Rhinolophus ferrumequinum: one gene and its partners. The protein of the gene in region 2 interacts with the protein of the main gene of each other region in a biochemical or structural test. Links are inferred from orthologs where the notes say so. Each region holds a gene or a part of one and is shown on either strand. Other genes may lie near its edges.

Region 1 (7,414 bases), on a different chromosome or scaffold from region 2:
GAAGCCAATGGAAACAACTCAGATGTCCATCAGTAGAAGAGTGAGTGAATGAATTGTACCAGATCCCCCTACCCACCTACTGCCATCCCTTTCTGGTTGTATATTTTAGCAGCAATACCAAACATTCAATGCTATACTTCAGACACACCTAGGGAACAGAACTCCATGTATGTGCCATGAGATGCCACTAGCAAATGTGTCACACACACCCTCAACCACAGACACCTCCCTAGGAATTATACGCTCTGTCTTCTGGGTTCCCGTGACACTTCCTATCAACAGTTCGTCAGCTTTACTTTCTGTAGTTTGTATTATACAAGCTATAGCACGGAGGTTGGGGTTTTTCTTTAACTCTAAATGGGAAATATAAACAAAATTATATAATGTTATCCACAACCTTGCTATTCAAAGTGTAGTCTGTGGGTCAGCATTGGTATCCCTTGGAGCTCATTAGAAATGCGGAATCTCAGCACTCCTCACCCCCATGGAACCAGAATCTGCATTTTAAAAAGATTCCTAGTGATTTGTGTCACACAGTAGAGTTTGAGAAGTGTGTGTTGCTCCAAAAACTAATATTGTAGATTTTGTAAAGTATATTGCAGTTTTTACATTTTGAATGTACTGTTGCAAATTATTCATGCCTTTCACATCCAGAGATTCCAAAACTGCCCAGATGTTTCCCCATCTTTTGAGAACAGTGTTTTTCAGTGAACACTGGGGAACCGTCCACATCTATATATCTCTTGATTGGAGCATTGTGCCAGCTTCCTGTATCAACTATGTATACTTCAGGCTGTAGACCACATACACTTACCTTTAAGAGCAGCTTAAGCAATAAAAACAATCATTGGATCATGTCTTAAGAAGCCTGTTGGTAGGCAGTCCCTGGATTCATCCAGCAGCTCAACTACATCAGCCAGGTCCTAGCTCTTTCTGTCTTTCTGTGCTGGCCTCTTTGGTGAGACGGTAGGCTTTTTGGCCTCAGGCTTGTGTCGCATGGTTTCATTATGATTGCCACCGCTCCATCCATCACAATCTCATCTTTAGGAAGGAGGAAAGGGGACAAAAAAAGGTTTTCTCTTCTGCTGTTATGAAGGGACAAAAACTTTTCTAACATGCCCCCTCCACAATTCATTGACCAGAAAGAACTAGGACACAGGTACGCCACTGGATCAATCACTGGCAAAAAGAAATGGTAGTGCCCATGACTGGCTTGGATTCACACCTAAACACTGGACCTTCTGGCGCGAAGGGCCATGGAGACTGGACGGAGAGTCAGGAGTGTCCGACGCACTTCCTCTCTGGACTCCACACCTCCAGTCTTGCGGCAGCCCAATTCAATCTCCTCAAGGCAGCCAGGTTGCGTTTGTAAAAATGCAAATACGCTCACATTTTGCTTCAAACTTCTCAGGCTCCACCTTCCTCACCACAGAGGAAACAGCAGGTGACCCAGGATTAAGAGAACCCAATTCCAAAACTGGATTTTACTCCTTCGTGTTGTATGACCCTGGGAAAGCCATCTAACTCCTTCCAGCCTCAGTTCCCTCATCTGACAAGAAAAGATCATAATAGCTACTTTGCAAGGGTCAATGAGGATTAAATAATAATAATAATAATAATAATAATAATAATAATAATAATAGTGGTAGCTAATACTTATATAGCACTCGCTCTGTGCCAAACCCTTTTTTAAATTCTTTAGTTCTATTAACCATTTTAATATTCCCAACAATATCATAAAACAGAGCTCTCTTATCTGCACCAGCTGAAGCTACCGGCTCAAGCGGAGCAGGGACCGGGCCCAAACACGCCAGAGAAATCCCGCACTGGGGACCGGCTGTGACCTCTGGGGAGGGGGCGGAGTTTCTCCGAGAGAGTGTGAGCAAGGGGAGGACTACAACTCCCAGAAGGCTCTGCGACACCGCTGGACTATAATAACCAGCATGCCCGGAGACTTCCTGCTTAACCTATTCCTCCTGCTAGGTATTTTGCATAGGAATTTGCTTTATTGTCGATAAATATTTTTCGCTTGCCAGAAATTCCCTATGAGTACCAAGGAATCTACGCAAGTAAATATTTATGATCATCGTGGATAAGAGGCTTGTGTTTCAATCCTCATTGTTAGCTGAAAAAGTCAGTTTTCTCATCTCTAAAATGGGGATATACCTAGGAGATGCCGCATTGAGTTGTTGTGTTGCGACGATTAAAACCTGGATGTCTTGGTAAATGCCATTTCTTCTAGTGACCCTCCTTCCTCTGTGCCCAACGGTTTTATTTTGCTGTTTATTTATGCTACCTGGGCATTTTATTTCCACAACACCCTATGAGGTTGATACTATCCTTTTTTCAGAAGGGAAAACTAATGCCAGGAGGGGTTCAAGTCTCTTGCCTGAAGTCACACAGCAAAGTGAGTGGTGGAGGATTCAAACCCAGAAAACTTCACTCTAGAGGTGAGTCCACCTTAGGAGCCCAAACGCTTCCCACCTGCTACCTGATGCTTTACAGGGACCCAAAGATCAGGGCAAATATTTTCCATTGTCTTCAAGGTAAACTGGAATGATGTGATACATGGAATGTCGAGATGCTTGCCTGTGGCCAGTGCTGGGAAGGAGACACTCTTGACACTTTGCAAATCGATTACGGCTGCATTTGATCTGGATGGCGAAATTAGGAAAAGCTTCCCTAAGAGGGCGAACATCTTCCTGCACAGAAGAGCAGGAACAGTCCAGTCAAAGGCCCTGAGGAGGGAGAGGACTTGTGTTCCAGAGGCCTTGAAAAGGGCCAGTGTAACTGGAGAGGTACAGCAAGTCTGAGGTGCAGGTAGTGAGTGCCATGGAGGGGTGAAAGTTGAGGGTATACCTTTTAGGGAGGCACAGCGTGAAAGCCTCCTTAAATTTGATTCCTTAGACTCCTCACTGGCCCCATCCTAGTCCTAGCCCTAGGTGCAGGGCCTTGTGGTAGGGTGGCCATCCGTCCTGGTTTGCCCTGAAGAGTCCTCGTTTCTGCTTGCTGCCCTGGCAAGATTATACTAGGCCCACTTTCAGTCTGACGAGTGTCCTTGTTGGAGGATCATTCTATGGCCACTCAGTTTGTAGTCTGTATTCTTATCCCAAGGTAGTGGGAAGCTACTGAAAAGTTTTCCCTGATGGGTTTTGGAGCAGACTCTGGCTGCCATGTGGAGCATGGATCATGGGGTCATGAATGAAGGCTGCTGGGGTCATCCAGTGGGAGGAGACAGGGGCAGCCTATCCTAAGGAAGAACAGTGGATGGAGTTGAGAAATGCTCAGGAAGCATGGCTGTCAGAACAAGGTGATGGCTTGGATGTGCTGAGTAAGGGCTTCCGGCTTTCTTGTTCCTCGGTACTGAAGTTCTGGTCCTTCCTCTGCCAGTGTTTAGCTGTGTGACCTTCAAGCAGTTCCTTTACCTCTCACAGCCTGTTTCCACATCCATATAAGGGCTTCTCAGACCATCTGTGGTAAAGGGGGAGTTGCTTCTTGCATTGAACATGTACCTGCAAATATATGTCTCCAGGACGTGTAAACAGTTTCCTCTACCTCCTTCACATCCTTCAGGTCTCCATTAAAATGTGACCACCTTAGGAGTCCCTCCCTGACCACCCCCTGCTGCGCCTTCCCTGGTTTACTCTCTATCCCTGGTTTACTCTCTGGTTTACTCTCTATGTTACTCTCTAACATAATCTCATAATTATGTTCTTTCCTGTTAGTTTACTTGCTCTCTGTCTCCGGCTAGAATGTACGCCCGTAGGAGGAGGGGCTTGCTTCTTCAGGGATGTATATCCATCCCCAGCACCTAGTACAGCACCTGGCCCATAGTAGATGCTTAGTTAAGTGTTTGGATGAACAAATCGATCGATGTGTAAATGAGTGAATGCTTTTCCTGCCACTCTAATGCCCCAAATTATTTAGTTGCCCGGTTACAAGCCTCCTCTGGCGCAGGAGCATCAACCCTAGAAGCAAGAAGATCAGGCCTGGGTTCAGATTCGGCCTTAGCCACTTAACAGCTGAATTTAGATAAATGGCTTAACCCGACTCAGCTTCGTTTTTCATATTAATCTCGACCTGGTAGGGATGTGGTGAGGATCCAACTAGATAGGAAAATGCTCGAAACGAAATAGGCGCTTTTTTACAATTGTCTTTTCTTCTCTTTCTCTCACAATCTCGCCTCCCAAGTCTGATCACCCCTGCCCTTCTCACCAAGCATCTCAATACCTCCTTCGCACCCAAGCCCGGAGGGACTTGCACATAGCCGGGCCCTCGCGCAAGCAAATATTTCCTCTATCTATAAAGGCAGGAAAAAAACCTTCCCCAGCATCGGATCGCGTGGTCCGCGGCAGGCGTCAGCGATGACGTCTGCGCCTGCGCGCACGCTTGCGCAGAAGGGCCCAAGGACGGGTGGGGGGTGAAGAAGGGGCCGGCCTTCGAGCGACAGCGACGCAAGATGGCAGCCACCACGGGCTCGGGTGAGCGGGGGCGCCGGGCCCTGCCGGCCGAAGGAACGCGGGCTCGGGCCGGGGGTCGGGGACCCGCAAAGGCCCTTGCAGCGGGACTAGGGCCTCTGCGCTGCCTCTGTCCGCCAGGCTCCGCGGCGGCTGCCCGGCGGGCCTGAGTGGGAGGAGGAGCAGGCGGCGGCCGGAAGCACGGGCGGGGGCCTGAGGGGCCTGTGGGCGGCGCGGCGAGGCCCAGAAGCTCCCCCGGGCGGCGTGAGGGCCCCGCAGGGAGGAAGGGACGGGCCCCGCGGCGCTGCTGAGCGGCGGGAGCGGGCGAGGGGAGCGCCCAGAGGCACTGCTGAGGAGATCGGGGCTGGCGGCTCTTTGGTGGAGATCGAGGGGTTCCGTAGAGGAGGAGGAGGCGCCTTAAGGCTTATGGAAATCCTTTTCTGCATGCTGTTCGTCCGGGTGGCGGGGGGAAGCCTTGGGATGTTCGTTTGGCGGGGACTTCAGAGAAGCCCGTCAGGATGGATGGGAGGAGGAAACGGGATCCTGAGGAATGACTGAGAGGATCCCCCATTGGCTAAGGGGACGGCTCCTGCGTTAGTTTTGGGGATGAGGTTAGCTGAGGAAATCTCTGTGTTGATTAGAAAAGGGGCGTCTTGGGTGGCTACGTTTGCGGGGAGTAAGGGCATCTCTACACAATAAGTGAGAAGGGTGAAAGGATCTCTCAGGTTCCTGAGGGTGCCGGTTGGGGCAGCCGATAGTGAAATGATGCCATCGTTACCAGCCCCTATTTGAGGACACAGATGTTAGGCTTTAGGAGGCAGGCTCCGATGGTGCAGTTGGTGGAGACTTGCGATATTGGGTGAAGAACAGGTGAATTGGGAGCCCTGGAGGTGTTTGGTGGGGGAGAGGGGAGTCAACTGAGGGAAGCCCCATGCAGTGGATGAGAGTGGGAAAAGGTCGGGTTTCAGAGAGGTTTCCTTTAAAGAAGAAAAATCTCCTTTATTGGCTGAGGGAAGCATACCCCGGAAGTGTCTGTTTTGTGGAAACTGGCACTCCCTTCCAGTCCTTTGGATATTGTTAATATGATATGTGGCTTCAGCTCAGAAGTTCCCCATTGGCTGGATGGGTGTGGGGAGAGGAACAAATGCAGTGGGAATTCTTGGGTGACTGCTGGGGGAAGGAAAGCTGAGGAAAGCCCCACTTCTCCAGGAGGGCAGGAGAGAATGAAGGAGCTACACCTTGGAGGAGGGGGCGTTCGTCCAGTCCCTAGTAGGTTGAGGGAAGCAGCACTTATTTTGAGACTGGATTCCCTGCTCTATGCTCTTAAGATGGGCCTGAGGATCAAATCCTGAAAGGTCTGTTTCAAACTTATCCTGCAGCTGGACATGAGGGGACAGACTCAGGTGGCCTTCTTGAGGAGGCAGGGGGAGGATTGGCTGGGGAAGGTCCCCCAGAGGGGCTGAAGAGGTGAGAGAGTCAGATTCTGGAAGTGCAGCATTTGGGGGTGACAGTTTCCCCCTTTGGTGACGAAGCTATACCCTGAGGCCTTTGGCAGTCAAGTTGCTCAAAAAGGCCCTCCCAGATGGGGTGATCATGGTGGAGGAAGTAACAGGGCTACTAGCCTGGGTACTGAAATCCTCTGGCTATCGAAGGCTGTTGACATAAAGTGAACAGCGTGAGAAAATCCATGTCTTTCCAGGATGTGGCTCCTCCAGTATCCCAAGGAGCCATTCTTGCCTGATAATTGGGTGGGAATAGAAGGAAATGTATGTAGGGGATCTAAAGGAAGTGACCTACCACCGCTGCCTTTTACACTGAAAGCAGCAGGATCTTCCTGGAGGATAGAGGAGACCACACATGCTTTTCCTAGACTTTGGTTTCAGTTGGAACAGTGCCGAGTCAATTCGTTTACCAAGACACTGCCATAGACACTCAGAAGAGAGAGGCTGAGTCAGGCCAGACTGCTGTGGGAAATTTCTCACCGGAGTAACACCTCTGCCAGGTTGCTATGACCTGGGGTGGGGGCGGGGTTGGGGGGACCACAATGTACCCATAGCAGCCAGCGTTACGGTAGTATTGCAACTAAGCCCTGTTGTCAGTCACTTGAGATTGGCTCCCTACCATCCGGTTTAACTGCTACTGAATTCTAACTTCCTGAGGCCCTGCCAACTGGAGTGCTTCATAAATGCAATGGTGGTCAGATAAAGCAATGTCAGCTCCTGGCTAGTGGAGTACAAGAGCACTTGGCATGGTTTAGATAACGTGGAACAGGCTTTGAGGTGCCCTAAAATGGGCTTCCCCAAACTGCTTTGTTTATTCAACAGATATTTATTGAGGGCCTGCTATGTCCCAGGGTGACTAGTGAACAAGATGGACAAAGCCCTGTCCTTGAGCTTCTAGTCAGGGAGAAGCCTGTGAAAGGAGTGATTAAGAGAATTTCAGATAGCAGTACGTGCTATGAAGGAAACTGTGATGTGATCAATGATCTGGAGAGGTAGTCAGGGACGCCTTCTCTGACATGGGGCTTTGAACTGACGGAAGGAGCCAAGCCTGTGTCACAGGCAGGAGAGGGGGAGACAGTGAATGCAAAGGCACTGGCAGGGCCAAGCTTAGCATATTGAATGAACAAAATAAAGGCCGTAGTGTGCAAGGGAGGCCGCTAAGGATGATGAGTTGGAGACAGGGCTTTGGGTTTTATTCAATGTAAGGGGAAACCATTAAGCAAATGTCTGGTATGAAGTAAGCATTCAGTAAATATTTGTTGAATGAATGAATGAATGAATGGTCTTAAAAAGAGGGGAATGACAAGATCTGGCCTGTACCCCCAGGCAGTGAAAAGAGTGTAGAGTGCTGAGAGTGGAAGCAGAAAAATCTTAATTGGGTTCAACTGAAATGAGTGTGCAGACCCCTGCTTTCTAACCCTGAGAAGTCTTTGAGATGTGGTCAGGGGCCCCGAG
Region 2 (7,971 bases):
TCAATTAAAAGACATAAATGTAACTTTTGGAACAACACAATTTTTCCAAAGAATCTCCTAGAACCATCTCAGTGCCACCACATACTTGTTATTATGAAGTTTTAGTATATATAGTTAAAAATGTATGTAATAAAATAATCCATATAAGCCTTTCTGATTTAATAAATACTAAGATAGGTCCATATTGATGTGCTATGTAAGATGCATGTGAGAATGTTAGAAAAATAGTTTTCAGTTCTAAGTCTTTTAGCTTAAAATCTTTCTCAGCTATAGAAGCTTCTGTCTGAAAACAGTTGTTCACAGAGTAGGACTCCTGTAGTCTTTATCATATGACCTACTGGACAACCACAAGGTATATCCTGAAATGAAAGAACTCTTAATATACAAGTGATATTTTGAAAGCCTGAAAGGAACATGAAACAAAGTCAAACGGAAACATACTTAGGCTTCCCCTTGAAACTTGCCTCTGTACCATTTAGCAGTACTAGAGACCCAGTTCCTTGCACTGTACTTTTCAGTCATTTCCTTTAAGGGGTCCCAAAGAAATCAGGGAACTTGCAATACCAGCTTTTACAGGCCAACACTAACTTCTGCCTTTGGACTTGTGATTGAGCAAAGATACTGTTAGTAGCTTCCTTAAAGTAAAATGCCTCTGATAAATTTGGTTTGTAAATGCTACAGAAAAAGTTCAACATAACCAACTGTAAGATAACTTGCATGACAATTTTAATAAGAGCACAGATTCCACATTCCCTCCCCCTCCCCGGACCAAACCTGCCACGAAGATACAATTTACAGCTCACTTTTATTCAAATCAACAAATACTACTATTATTACATTAGAGCACTTCTATAACACTAATAAAAACCTAGGTGAGTTTTCTCTTTAAAAGTTGTAAATTTATTAGATGAGGTATTAAAACTACTTCACTACACGCAACTTTCCATACATTTAACTGTTCTATTTTCTAATTGTTTTAAACTCAAGATCTCTTTTTAACATACTACAGAAAAGGAATGGGTTAGAGGACTACGGGTGGGTGGGGGCTGAAAATATCAAAATAACAGATGTCTCACTTTTCTGATGTAACCATCAGAATCTAAAACCTGGGGGCAACTATGTAATACAAAATTAAATTCCAAAGAATTTAGGATAAGTGAAAGTATACACTGTTACTACAGTTCCCATCATTATTTACCTCAGGAAATAACTAGTAGAAATAATGCTTGATTTAAATTTTTGGATGAAATCTATGTAATTTCACTAACAATTGTCACCCCAATAAATTTAAAAAAATTTAAAAAAATAAATTTTTGGTACCTTCCAGTTTGGTTCAACTACCAAAATAAACCAACTTGTCCTCAGAGTCAAGTATTTTCCTTCAGAAGAGGCTGTTGGTATAAATAAAAAACGTAACGAATTCATATGCTGTATTTGTACAATAAGGACAATGTTTTAAAAGCTGTAAATCTGATCACTCTGAGAAAACATTTTCTGAAATAAAGAAAATATCATAAGCTTAAACAACTGTAGAAACTGAACATTTTTTACAATTCAAAAATTTTAACTCACACTACTATGCAAACTAAATAAAAAAAACCTTGTTTCTCCTCAATCTTAAAATACATACTCAATGTAGAAAAAGACAAAGCCAGTTCTGAAACAAAAGATCAGCTGCTATGAAAACAAAATAACATTTTGCAGAGTAAATACACAGCCTTTGGACCAAAACAAATAAATGACCTTTTCACACAGTTAAAACTTCAGTCCTTAGCACAACCAGCACCTATGGTTAAATGCTGACTTAATTACTTGTTGGTATCCTGTTTGATGATTAAACGATGGTAAGGTTATTGGTGCTGTTAAAACCAAGACACGTTTTCTTGGGTGCAGTGATTAAAATCTGTTAAACCTACATTTAAAAATCTCTGTCCTCCCACTTCCCGATCATTACTCTTCTGCCTTGTAAGAGACCTGCACATACGAAAATAAAAGTAGATGGTGAGATGTTTATGATTTACAGTATTTTCCCCACTCGGAGCCTTTTTAAAGTCCTCTGAGGTTCTAAGATTCAAACACTATGTAAAAGAGTGATTGAACTACCTAACAATTACCCAGACTTCTTTTAGACTTAAGTTAACCTATAAGTAAAATGAGCATCTTTAACTTTTCCACGGGGCATTGGAGAACAAGTTCCTACTCATAAACGCTTTCAGGTCCTCAGATACCCGGCGCGATTGGAAGATCAAGCGTATCCATCAATTAGAGAGCTCTTCCGGGCTTCAGTTTACCCACTTACGGAAACGGGTGTATTAACTTGTTTTGTAGGGGGCCCGGAGGTGTAACTAATTAGTGTTTTAAAATGCTCTAAGATCCAGAGATGAAAGGAAACGCGAGAGACACTCAGAGATGACAATAATCATAACAAAAAGAATGACTAACTTCGAAGTCTGTATTATGTAAGGAAAGAGAAAGAAGTTACCAGATTCGCACAAACAAAAGAAAAGCCCACTGCCCCCTTTGTTTCTTTCATTTCTCTCTTCCTCCCCGCCTCTGCGGAGCTCCCCATCTGCAGAAGGCGGCCGACGCGGGGTGCTGGGCTCGGACTTGGCGGCCGATCGCCCCGCTCCCAGACCGAGGGGGAGGGCGCGCCGGGCCGGCTCCTGACAAAGGCGCTTCCTCCAGCGAGGGCGCGGGATGCAGGCGCCGCAAACTCGGCTCCCGGCCGCCTCCGGCGCGGGGGCGCGCAGGCGGGCCGAAAGAGCCCGCCCGTCGCCCCGGGAAGCCGCCGAGGAAGTTGCGTGCCCGCCTGGCCCGCACCCTTCACCGATCCCACCGCGATCCCTCCCGCGGCGCGCCGCGGACACTCACCGGACAATTGCTGGTGGTCGGAATCCCAGCACGACTCCGGGACCCGGAGCGAGAGGGTGAAGTGTGCGTGTGTGGAGAGCGCGAGCAGACAGCGCGGCGTTTCGTCTTCCTCGCCAGCCGGCCAAGCCCGGCAAGGGGAAGTTGGCCGCGGAGCCGAGCGCGGAGGAGCTGCGGGCCGAGGGAGAGGCGTGGGGCCCGCTTTGTGGTGCGCTCCCGGAGGGCTCGACGCAAATCCGAGCGCGCGGCAAGGCTGGTGCTGCTGGTGGAGGCGGCGGCGGCGGCGCCCCCCGACGGTCCCTCCGCCTCTCACCGCCTCTGGGTCACTGACACACACTCGGAGGGAGAGGAGGGGACTAGCAAGAGGGCGGGGCTGGAGGGAGGAGACAGGGCAGCACCACAGCGGGAGGCGGTGCCGCGGCGCCGAATGGTCTTTTGGGAGTTGTAGTTCTCCCACTGAAGAAAAAAGGGATACATTGTTGAGGACGCGTCCTGCACTGCGCATGCTCGGGGAGAGAGGCTCGGCCCCCCCCCCCCCACAGTTACTATGGTCACTGACACTAAGAAGAGAACGTGTTTAGTGCTGCTGCTGACTGAACAAGGCCCTTCTTGTATTATGGTGCTTGTATTAGGGATCCCGCCCTTAGCTAGACTTTCCTACTTCGCTCCACCCCCAACTTCTAGCCTTACCACTCACAAGTGCTTAGTGAAATCTGACTTCCTCCTGATATTTCGGTCTTCTTTGCTGTTTCATTTTATCCCACAAATCCTGAATTGCAAATACTCATTTCCGTCCCCTCTTTCAAGTGAAAACTTTCTGCCTTAAATTCATATTTTTTTGTTGTTGTTTTTTTACCTAAGACTTGCTGAAATGTAGTTGCTTCTAGTACCTTAACAATTAGGTTATAAAACTGTTAGAAACAACAATACCAGAATCCCATAGTTAATGTCTTCACTTCATTAGTCACATTTAACTTGAAGGCCAGCAAAGTTCAGGGTTAAGATCACTGTATTTTACTTGATCAGTGTAAAATAATCCAGATTTTTTAAGGTCTCTAATTTTTTAAAAATACAAATTTCATAAAGTGTAAATTCAAAAAATAAGTGGAAAGTTGAAAATTGTTAATACATATATATATATATATGTGTATATATATATATATATATATATATATATATATATATATATTATGTATATACTTTCATTTGGCAATAAGAGAAGTCTGAACCAAGGTCTGAGTATGCTGTTGGGCTGGTCAGCTAAGGCTACACCCATACTGGTCATCTATTTGTGAATAGGTGGTGGAGGAGGGTGGTGAAAGGCAGGACACATTCCTGGATTTTCAGAGGACCAACTAAAGTCAACCTGTGTCAAACTCTTTTGTTTTCCTTCTCTGCCTACCTAGAACCCCATACCCTGGAAGAAAAAAATTAATGCTTAGAAATCAGAAACACATTTAGAGCAGGAAAAGTCAAGGTTTTGAAATACAGCCTCCAGATCAGAAATCCTTATGGTTGCAGACCACATAATTATTCATTCAAAGACCATTTAGTGAGTATACTACGACCCAGGCACTTTATTAGGTCCCAGAAACAGCAATACAGGAACGTAAAAGAAACATTCTTTGTTTTCAAAGTGCTTACTGTGCAGACTCAGTGTAATAAATACTATAATAGGAAAGTACACCAGATGCTTTGATACACGGCTACTCCAGACCCAGGCAAGGTCAAGAAATACTTCAAAGAATGTTTGAACTTGAGGATGACTAGGAGTTAATGTGTTTGAGGAGGGGGAGGACAGAAGTGGGTGAGAGCATTGGGGGTGGAGGTGGATGGCAGCAAGAGTAAAACACTAGAGGCATGAGACCAAAGAGTATTTTGGTTCAGCAGACTTCAACGTTGCTGACAGTAAAAGGAGGTTGGGAGACGAGCAAGAGTAGACACAGAAAAGCTAAAGGAGACAGCTTAGATCATGAAGAACCTAGCATAGTATGCTAAGGAATGTGGACTTTTCTCTGGAAGCAATGGAAAGTCCTACCAAGATTTTAAGCAGATGAAATTTTGATAAGATATGCATCTTAGAAATGCATTTTTAAAAAGATGAGAGCCTAAACTAAGGCACCTGCAGTGGCAGAAGACAGGACTGAAGGTAATCAGACACTTTGAGGGATAGAATTAATAGAACCTAGTGAGTATTTGCCTGTGTTTGGGGGTGAAGGGTGAAGGAAAGTTATCCATTATGATGCTTTTGGTTTCAAGCAGTAAAAAAGCCAGATCTAACTGACTTAATCAATAAGCCAATATTAACTGTTTAGATTAAAAGTCCCATGAAAAGACAGGCTACAGGGGTGAATGATTAAACAACTCAGAGATGTCATTAAGGACAAGTTTCTTTCTTGTTTCATTGTTTTTCCTTCCTTGGTATATTAACTTTATGGTCAAATGACAGTTACCAACAATTCCTGTGGCTATAAGTTTTGCCACTAGGTCCAAGAAGAGAAAAGAACAGCGAGTCATTTTTGGAAACTCTTTTAGAAAGAAGAAAAAACTATTTTCCCAGAAGCCTCAAGAATTGATTCATGTGTCCACATAAGCTAAAAATGGTGGCCAGGGGATGGTATGAAGCTAATTATTTTAGGGTAAAGATATATGCCCTGTCCCTAGACCCAAAGGAGTAAGCTTCCCACAAAGCTGTGATGAGGAAGTGTGGATATTCCTATGAAAGTTGAGGTGATTACCCCAAAAAAGAAGAGTTGAAGCTCAGAAGGAAAGTGGGGGACTGCAACGTCTACTACAAGAAAAGGGAAGGATGTCTCACAGATTGCCGCCTTATGTGATTATGAGCTAGTGATGCCATTCACAGAGTTAGGGATTACAGGAGATTGAACAACTTTTGAGGGGGAATTTGAGGAGTTCACTTTGGCTGTGTTGAGTTCTAGATGTCTCTGGACATATAAATGGAGAAGTGCAGTGGGCAGTTTTATATATATATATGACTCTAGTGTTCTCAAGAGAGATCGGACTGCAGAAGACATAGTTGGAATACATAGATGATAGTTGAAATTATGGGAATGGATGAGATCACCCAGGAAGAGTATACACAACAGAAACGGAAGAGTCAATAATAGCACCCTAGGGAAACCCAGAACTTAAGGAGTAGGCAGGAAGATCATGAAAATGCCTGGGAACTAGCAAGAGAACTAGGACATACAAAGCAGTAGGAAAATGTTATTTAAAACCAGGAGAAAAGTCAGTCAACGTAAACAAAGCCAGAAATGATAAAGATGGTAGAATTAGCAGTCAAGAACATTAAAACAGTTATGATAAATGTGCTCCATATGCTGAGAGAAATTAAAGACATAAAAAATGGAATTTCTAGAAATTAAAATTGCAATTTCTGAAATAAAAATTTCACTGAAGGGAGTCAACACTCAGAAGTAGAGTAGGCACGCAGAAGAAAAGATTAGTAAACTTGAAGGCATAGCAGTAGAAATCTAGCCAAAATAAAGCACACGAAGAAAAAAACTAAAAGCACGAAAAGGAAAATAGAGCCTCAGTGATCTGTGGGATAATACTAAGTATTCTAAGATATGTGTAACTAGAGTTCCAGGTGAGAGAAGGGTGAGGGGGGGTGACAGAAAAATTATTTGAAGTAATACAGCTGAAAATACTTTCACAGTTGATAAATATTATAAACCCAGAGACTCAAGAAGCCCTAAGCACACATATTTGTGCACATTCACAAAAAAACCACTGCAAAAGACACCATCGCTAAACTGCTGAAAACTAGTGATAAGAAGAAAATATTAAAAGCAACCAGTGAGAGGAAAAAAGTATATTATGTATACAGAGAAACAAAGACAAAAATTCAGTAAACTAATCAGAAACTCTGCAATGCAAGGGCATTTTTTAAGTGCTGAAAGCAGGAAATAATCTGTCACATAGAATCCCATATTTAGAGAAAATATCTTTAAAAAATGAAGGCTAAAGAAAAAAATGCTAAGTGAATTTTGCCATTAGAACTGCATTACAAGAAATATTAAAGCAACTTCTTGCGCATGAATAAAACAATATCACCTGGAAACTTGGATTTATACTAAAGAATGATGAGTGCCAGAAATGGTAACTATATGAGTAAGAATAAAAGACTTTTCCCTCATTAAAAAATAAAATTTTTTTAAATTGATTATTTAAAGCAAAAAGTATAGCACTGTATTATAGAGTTCATAACAAATGTAGAGGTAAATGTTTGACAATAGTTCAAAGGAGTGAAGGGGGAATTCAATTGTTAGAATTTACATTACATATGAAGTGTTATACTAATATTTAAAGTAAATTGTGGTAAATTAAAAGAGCATATTCTAAACCTGACAACAGCCATCAAAAATAAAACAAACAGGTATAGCTAATAAGTCAATAGTGGAGACAAAGTGAAATCCTAAAAAAAAAAAAAAAAAAGCTAGAATGTAGAAACAGAAATATAGAAGAAATCTAAGTCTAATGACTATGGAGGTGACCGGAAGCTCCATACAGCTCTGGACTTTCCACCTTCTGACTTCTTTTAAGTGAGAAAGAAATAAACTTCTTTCCTGTTTAAAGAGATTTTTATTTTGTATTCTATGTTATGTATAGCTGAACCTAATCAGAACAGCCACAAGCCTATAGTAGTTTCATGAAATAGAGCATGTTTTTCAGCATCAGGTAGACCCACACATTGCCCAGAATTTGGCCACATTGCCAGCAACTTCAACATAATTCTGGGATTCATATGTTTGTCATTAAAATTCCAGGGATAGTCCATCTTTTGGATGAATATCATTACTATTTGATCAGTTTTTCTTAAAGGAGAAAAATACATGTAAAGTACTTAGCGCAGTCCTTGGAATACAGTAAATACTCAGTCAATATGCATACTTTGAAACTGAGCCACAATAATAAGATAGATATACCTCAATTTAGACATATGTTGGAGTTTGTACTCCAAAGTCAGGTGTAGAAAATCATTTACATATCAAAACATGTGGATCTCTTCTTGAAATCCACCATACAGTTCTGTATAGTTCTTCAAAACCTGCAGTCTTTTGAATTCAGGACCATTCAATC
Region 3 (7,839 bases), on a different chromosome or scaffold from region 2:
ATATAACTTTTCTTTCCTGGCATTCAAGAAGAGACCTTTTCCTGTGCTTGTGTGCTTTTTCTCGAAATCTTACTGTTATCACTATATTTGGATTACCAGCATTGCAATTAGGTTCAGGAAAAGATTTGGTTTCCACAAGATTTCCAAACTTTTTGTTAACAAAATGGTGAACAGCTTTTCTGTGGTCTTTGTCTGTATCAGGTTTAAAGGTAAATTTGGAATTTTCTTTCTTTGCATCCAAATATTTGAAAAAGTCAAGTGCTTCTTCTTCGGATACCAAGTGAAGGAGTTCTTTATATTCAAGATTTGGTTTTACAACAATTTCACTGTTTTTTCCTACAGTTATTAAAAAGGGAAACTTCTGCCTAATAGCACTATGCAAAATAGCCCTCTGGTTTTTGTCAAGGATTGTGCCCAGTAAGAATTCAGGAGATGGTCCAATTAGCTCAGTTTTAGAATCCCACTTCTCTTTTATAGCACAAGCAAACTGATTCAGTAATTCACTAGTTTTTTTATCTAACAAAGAGCCTAATACATCAACTTTTTCTTCTTCACATTTGGAAGTTCCATCATTGATTATATCTTCCTTTTCTGAACCAGTCTGATGATTTTGGTCATCATTGGAAAACCCAGCCAAAGTATTGACTTCTTGGTCGCTTCCCTCTTCCAAGGACACATTTTGAAGATCTAGTTTTGTTTTCTTTGCAAAATTATTTGGCTTGGGTAGTGCTTTACTAATCTTGTCAATAGGTTCATCAGTGGCCTTATTAACTAACTGTCCCTGTTCATCTATTTCAATAACAACAAAGTCACTTGGTGAGCTTTTTATAGTGCCATGAAATCCAACATGATCAGTAATGAAACACAAAGAACTAAATCTGATTCTAAAATCTGTATCCTCTTCCATTCTTAAATAGCAATGCCTACAAAAGAAACAGAGAGGCAGTCAGTTACTAGAAAGAAAACTTGTGGGTCACAAAAAGAAATAGGTTTGCAGGATTTATTTAATTCTCTTTCTCCCTTTCAATCCTGAGACTCCTTTAATAGACACTAATAATCTACTTCTATATATCCTGTGTATTTTGACCCTCCTATACCAAAATGAATTAACATACAAACTTTTTCTGGTATAACTGGTGAGTTGCAACTTGACTCTTCATCCACTCCAGGATTCCATCTATTGTTCAGGATTAAAATGAGTCAGTTTCAACTTCACTTTAAAAATATAATTTGTTGGCCAGCCCAGTGGCTCAGGCGATTAGAGCTCTGTGCTCCTAACTCCGAAGGCTGCCGGTTCGATTCCCACATGGGCCAGTGGGCTCTCACCCACAAGGTTGCCAGTTCAACTCCTCGAGTCCCGCAAGGGATGGTGGGCAGAGCCCCTGCAACTAAGATTGAACATGGCACCTTAAGCTGAGTTGCCTCCCGGATGGCTCAGTTGGTTGGAGCGTGTCCTCTCAACCACAAGGTTACCGGTTCAACTCCCACAAGGGATGGTGGGCTGTGCCCCCGGCGACCAGCAACGGCAACTGGACCTGGAGCTGAGCTGCGCCCTCCACAGCTAAGACTGAAAGGACAACAACTTGAAGCTGAACGGCACCCTCCACAACTAAGATTGAAAGGACAACAACTTGACTTGGAAAAAAGGCCTGGAAGTACACACTGTTCCCCAATAAAGTCCTGTTCCCTTCCCCAATAAAATCTTTAAAAAATATATGTCACTTGTAGGCCCACAAAGAACAAAGAACTGTGTACAATGTGTGCAGTGATTTTCTAAACCCTACCTCTGAAATTTCCAGCTAAATCCAGAGAACTTGTGGCTAGATTTTTATATATTAGCTGTTAGGGATGGGAGAAGGATGAGAAGACAGGAAGAAAAAGGCCAAATTGACAAATGAAGCTCTAAATACCAACTTGCCATGTGATTACTTGAACCATAAGCCTTCTTGAAAGCCCATATAAAAACTTTTACAGATACAAACTTCTGAGGTTGACTCAGAGGGAAATTCCAACCTTGTCACGGTCATCAGAGAGAAGAAACCCTTACAGATTTTCTTGAAGCAGCAGACCAGAGAATAGTTCTGTAAGGAGGCCTTCACTCACTCTTCACACAACCTATGGCTACCACACCAGATGGAGCTACAGGAAAGCTAAAATGCCCAGGGCCCCGTAATATTCCTTTGTGTCAGCCACACTCTCCAGGTAATTTAATCATCATCTGGACCTTCATTCCATGTTGACAATGTATTATACTAATCTGAAACAATTTAGCAAACTCCCCTCCTCCATCCTATTATGCCATGTAGAAATCAGAGCAAATTCTCTACATCCTTATTTCTTAGGAAATATAGAGGGATATATTTATTTTCCTTCATTCCTTAATTTCCTGTACAGTCTCCTCAGTTTCTAGCCTTCACTGAAACCTGGCTATTTCCCCCAGGCTGCTTCCTCTGTAGTCCTCTCAAGTGAAAGCCATTTTTCCTTTCACACCCACCTAACTTAGGACCTGGAAATTGTAAATATTTTGTTTGCCACTACTCCTTCCAAACCATTTCTTCCTCCTCTACCTCCCCAAACCCCAGTTCCTTTGAAGTTCATGCCATCAGACTCTGCCATCTGCTGTCATCCTCTCTCTGGTCCTGGGATGACTCTTCCTTCTTCACTGAAGACTTTATTGTTCCCTGTCTTCTTAACCATCATGACTTGCAGGACCATCCATATGGATCATCCATTTAACATCACAGTGTCTCAGTTCCTCAATCTGAATCTCAACCCACTTCCACTTCATCTTGGTCATAGCCTTGACTTTCTGATCACCAAAAATTGCATCAACTTTAAGCATCTGGCTCTCTGATTACTCCTGCTGTCCTTTCATCACCTCCACTTTGTACTTCATTCCATAAATTCTTATACATTGTAAAGGCCTCTAATCTCTGCTTCTACTACTGGTCCACGTAACACCCAGAATGATTTAAAAGGTAAATTAATCCATATCACAACCTGATTTAAAACCCTCAAACCACATTTATAATGAAATTCAAATTTCCCTGACTTCCAAAGATTTCTAAGATTCTGGACTTTGTCTAGTCTACAAATTTATTTTGTAACCTTTCCCCATTTCCAACTATACTCCAGATACACTGGACTTCATTTCCTTTGTACCAACTGTTGCTGCTGATGAAATTGGTCCTTCCCAAATCACATCCTACGAGGTCTTCCCTGACCAATGTCTAAAGGAACCGGCAAGTCACTCTCTTTCACAAAACTTTAGCTTTTTGCATAGTATTTCTATCTAATAATTTTCATTATTTATTGTATATCTCCCTCAACTAGATTGTTAGCTCCATCCAAGCAAGAACTTGTCTGCCTTATTCACTGATTATCTCACATTTAGAACACTGTCACGCACATAGTAGGCATGCAATCATTACTGATAGTTGAATAAATTAAATTATAAAATAAGAGGGTAAGAGTGAAAAGGAAGAAAGGTCGCTTTTGCCTATGATAATTGGTAAAGTCATAATGCAAGACGTGGCCATCTAAGTCCTCAAAACTGTCTAAGCAATAGAAATGAGGCAGAGGCATATCATAAGTAATGTAAAAACAAAATATGCAATGTGGTAGAGAAAACTGAACAGTCCAGATACAGAGCTGTAGGAGAAAAAGTTTTCTGGACAGTTCTGGAAAATACAGTTGGATCAGTGCCAAACTATCTAAGACACTGAATGCCCTGTCAAGGGCTTAGAATCCAGAGCGGTCAATGGATGGCCGCCGGAGGTGTTTGGGTAGGAAAACTACACAATCTAAAATGATGTTTTGGTAAGACGCCTGATGGAACCGTACAGGATGAATCAGAAGCAGTGTTAGGGAAGCAATGTAATCAAGACTATTGTTGTAGGATCGGCCTTGGGAATAATAATAACAAATTCTTACCCCAGTAAAAGGAAGATATGAAGACATTCTAAGCTAATACAATGGGTAGAACAAGTAACTCGGGGAGAATGTGTAACAACGAGGGAATTACAACCAAGCATCTTAGGAAAAGAGCGGAACCCAGCGGGAGGGAGCCCAGGAGCCCACGTGGAGTTCAGCATAACTGTGCGGTGTTCCTCCGCAACCGATTGGTCGATGAGGGTGCCAGGTGGAGAGGGGTAAGGTAGTCTGACCCAAGGTTAGTGAATTCCCGGTTGAGGACAGACAGATACAAGGAAGATATTAGAAATGGAGAAGACAGCGCCTTTTCCCTTACGCTCTTACTTCACTAATCGCCGAAGCTCCGCCGAACTCACTCCTACGTACTTCCCGCTCCGTCCCCCACCCGCAGAATTTAAATCTCCGGCGTGGTGGCCTTTGGCGCGTCCACAAGTACCCTCAGACACCGCCACCAGCTCCCCGTGCTTCTCCTCCCTCCCCCACACCCGCCAGTCCCAAGGCGCAATCCTCGTCCACCTCACCCTCCGCTCGGGGGCAAAGGCTTGGGGTCCCAACGCCAATCATGTCATCGCCCCATACAGAAGCCCACATGACGCTAGATGCTCCACCGGGTCTACCTCACCTCCAGGTGAAGGCATGCCCCTGCACAACCTTGTGCGCATGCCCGGAAGACAATATATTTCGCCTCCGACGGAGGCGTTTTTAAAGGGACAGGCTCCTACTTACAGAAGCGACTAGGACTTTCCCACTTGGTGACGCCGCCCGCAGGGGCCAAGAGGCAGGGAAGGGCGGGGCCTGGCGTGTGGAGCCCTTCCCGTCACGCCCCGCCCCGCCCCACCGCGCCCCGCCCCGCGCCCCGCCCCGCGCCCCGATTCCTCACCGGCGGGCACTACCGGGCGGGGTGCAGTCCGCCTCCTGTGCCCCGCGTCTGGGCAGGTAAGGATTTCCGACTGTGCGCGCATCCTTCACCGCAGGTGGTCCGAAGTCCGCGCCCCGGCCTCAGTCTCCCTGCCCCAGGGTTGTTCAGGGACCGTTTCGGAAGGAAGTTAGCCTCTTATCTTCCAAATGAGAAAAGTTCGGGAGGAACTAGGTGGCGTGGACCGAGCTTGATCCAGGGTAAAGACTTGGTTGGGTCCCTGGGGATCAAAAAGTTACTCGGACCTGAAGAGGAATCTGGGGCGTGGAGAAGCGTCACCCAGACATTCTGTGGCTCAGTCGTTCCTCTCTCCGAGTCTCAACTCCTATGAGTTGTGTTCCGTCTGAGTGCGGGTTTACAAAATGAAATCTTTTTTTCCTGAGAACCAGGAAGTAAGTCCAGCACCCAGCAGAGATGCTTGTTGCTTGGAAGGCATGCTGAGCCTGCACAAGATTCTAAGATTCTAATTAGTTTGTTTCTCTGGCTTCCAAGCTTCCAGGAAATTAGAAAGTGGAGAGGAGTTGTAAGGTTCAGATAAGTGCATTATCAGATAGGAAAAGTGTACTTGACAGCCTAGAAGCAAGAGAGAAAACAGAAATAAAAAGCAGACCTTGAGAAATTGAGGAAGCGTTGTGGCCATTTAGAATGGGAACAAATGGCTCTTATTAGTGCCTCAAAAACGCATCTGCCCCCAAGGAACCCTAAGAACAGAGAACATTTAACTCTGCCTTGCCCTTTCTTTCTGGAGTAAGCCTTGAAGGATCTGTCAGAAAGTTCAGAGTTGTTTTATTCTCCTGTTTGCAAGCTAAACATTCCTTTGAAGTGTACTTTCTAACCTGTCCAAACTGAGCTCATGATCTTCCAGTCCAAACGTGTGCCTTCCACAGTCTATTCTATCTCAGTAAATGTCAGGAAACTTGTTTAGGCCAAAAACCTTGATGCTATCTTCTCACCTTTCATATCAGCAAATAGGATTCTCATTGCTGTACCTCAGAAAATATTGAGCATCCTAGGTCTTCCTACCTTCTCTGCTACCTCTGTGGTCCAAGCTGCCAGTACCTCCCACCTGGACTACTGGATTACTCTACTAAACTGGTTTCTTCCTTCTTCTCTGCCCTTATTCCAGGAGCCTTTATTCTCAGCAGCAGCCCCAGTGTCCTTTTAAGAACCAGTTTAGAGCCTGTCTCTCCTTTTCTTAAAGCCTCCACTGTCTTCTCATCTTGCTCAAGGATCAACAAAGTCAATACAAAGTATACGGCTCTAAGAGACCTAGCTCTGTTACCTCTCTCATCTAATCTGCTACTTTCCTACTCCCTCTCCAGTCTCACTATCTCCTGGCTTTTTCTCAATGACCCATTTCAGGCCCTTGGAATGTTTTCCTACAGATACCCAGTGGCTGACTTCCTCATTGATTCAGACCTTTAATCACCTTCTTTGTTTCCCTCACTCTTCTTTCTCTGTAGTATCTGATCTTTCATGAAGTTAAGATCAGATGCAGTCTCCTAAATGTTTGACTGTTTTCTTCTGCATTCCCTGACCATATACTTTTTTCAGGTTTACATTTCTGCTAGATTATTGCAAAGTTTTCAAACTGGTCTCCCTGCGTAAATATACATCCCTTCAATTTTTTATCCAGAGGAATCCACTTAGCCAAATAACACCTTTCCTTAAAGTCCTGTAACTTTTAGTATAAAGTTTAAACTCCTTGTCATAGCATATGCGGTACATGATGATTTGGCCCTGTCTACTTCTCGAGCGTCACCTCTTATTACTTAATGACATGCATCCTGTGGTCCAGCCATAGCAAACCCTTTGCCTGAGCCTAACCTATGCTCCCCTGTGCTGTTCCTGCTGCCTGGAGTTTCCTTGAGTTTATCCTCATTCCTTTTCATTCATCTTTCCAACCTCCCAACCCACCCAAATCTGTCTTAATATACTTCCTTCGGACGGGCTTGGCTTGATGTCCCTTCTCTGGGCCCCAAAACATACCTCTTGCAACATTTATAACTCACTGTAATTGTTTTATCCCCTGCTAGACTGAACAGCTTGAAAACAAAAGATTTTCTCTTCTCTGTAGCTCCTGTTACTTATTGCAAAGCCTGACATGTATGTTTTTTTGAATGTAGGGATGTATATTTACGCAGGAAGACCAATTTGAAAACTTTGCAATAATCTAGCAGAAATGTAAACCTGAAAAAAGTATATGGTCAGGGAATGCAGAAGAAAACATTCAAACATTTAGGAGACTGCATCTGATCTTAAATTCATGAAAGATCAGATACTACAGAGAAAGAAGAGTGAGGGAAACAAAGAAGGTGATTAAAGGTCTGAATCAATGAGAAAGTCAGCCACTGGGATATCTGTAGGAAAATGTTCCAAGGGCCTGAAATGGGTCATTGAGAAAAAGCCAGAAAGGAAATGACTGGTCTTTCTAGAAAAGAGAGTGAAATGAACAACGCATTGAGTTATAGAAGCAGGGACATAAGGCATGAATTTTGAAGTCAGATATGGGTTCAAGTCCTAGCTCTTTTACTTACTACCTTTGTGAAATAGAGATGATAAAACTGCATTAGTCACCTTGAGGATTAAGTGAAGTGTATAAATCACCTTGCATGGTACTGGGCAGGAACATGTAACAACACCATTATCTACAATGTGCTAGTTACTAGTTATATATTAGTAAATAAAATGATCATAGTCCCTGAACTCGTGGAACTCTTAGTCTGATGGGGGTGACAGTAAACAACTGGACAAATAAATTTATGGTTACAAATAAATTGTGCAGTAATGAAAGATATTTAGGTTGAGGGCAGATAGACCTACGTAGATGTAATGGTCAAAGAAGGTCAAAGAGAAGAAAATGCTAATACAGAGGTCCAGGATACAGAGAGACTTTTTGCTTCTTACTCTTTTATAACTTCTGGATTTTGTACCACATGAATATATTCTCTACTCCAAAAATTAGTTATATTGCATCTTAAAAAGAAAAA

What was found.
Region 1: the proteins of PELI1 (region 2) and UBE2V1 form a complex in vitro, tested with the Homo sapiens proteins (3 studies listed by BioGRID). The link is inferred for Rhinolophus ferrumequinum from reciprocal best matches to the Homo sapiens genes PELI1 and UBE2V1.
Region 3: of the proteins of PELI1 (region 2) and IRAK4, one has a biochemical effect on the other in vitro, tested with the Homo sapiens proteins (4 studies listed by BioGRID and IntAct). The link is inferred for Rhinolophus ferrumequinum from reciprocal best matches to the Homo sapiens genes PELI1 and IRAK4.

Annotation. Positions count from the first base shown.
Region 1 is NC_046306.1:9,444,107-9,451,520, forward strand, and holds the start of UBE2V1 (ubiquitin-conjugating enzyme E2 variant 1), read left to right. Parts: upstream 1-4,357; 5' UTR 4,358-4,459; coding exon 4,460-4,481; intron 4,482-7,414. UniProt on the Homo sapiens protein: Has no ubiquitin ligase activity on its own. The UBE2V1-UBE2N heterodimer catalyzes the synthesis of non-canonical poly-ubiquitin chains that are linked through Lys-63.
Region 2 is NC_046296.1:25,735,071-25,743,041, reverse strand, and holds the start of PELI1 (E3 ubiquitin-protein ligase pellino homolog 1), read right to left. Parts: upstream 3,211-7,971; 5' UTR 2,872-3,210; intron 1-2,871. UniProt on the Homo sapiens protein: E3 ubiquitin ligase catalyzing the covalent attachment of ubiquitin moieties onto substrate proteins. Involved in the TLR and IL-1 signaling pathways via interaction with the complex containing IRAK kinases and TRAF6.
Region 3 is NC_046293.1:46,386,442-46,394,280, forward strand, and holds the start of IRAK4 (interleukin-1 receptor-associated kinase 4), read left to right. Parts: upstream 1-4,782; 5' UTR 4,783-4,869; exon of another isoform or gene 4,870-5,049; intron 5,050-7,839. Other genes in the region: pseudouridylate synthase PUS7L, read right to left, coding at 1-907.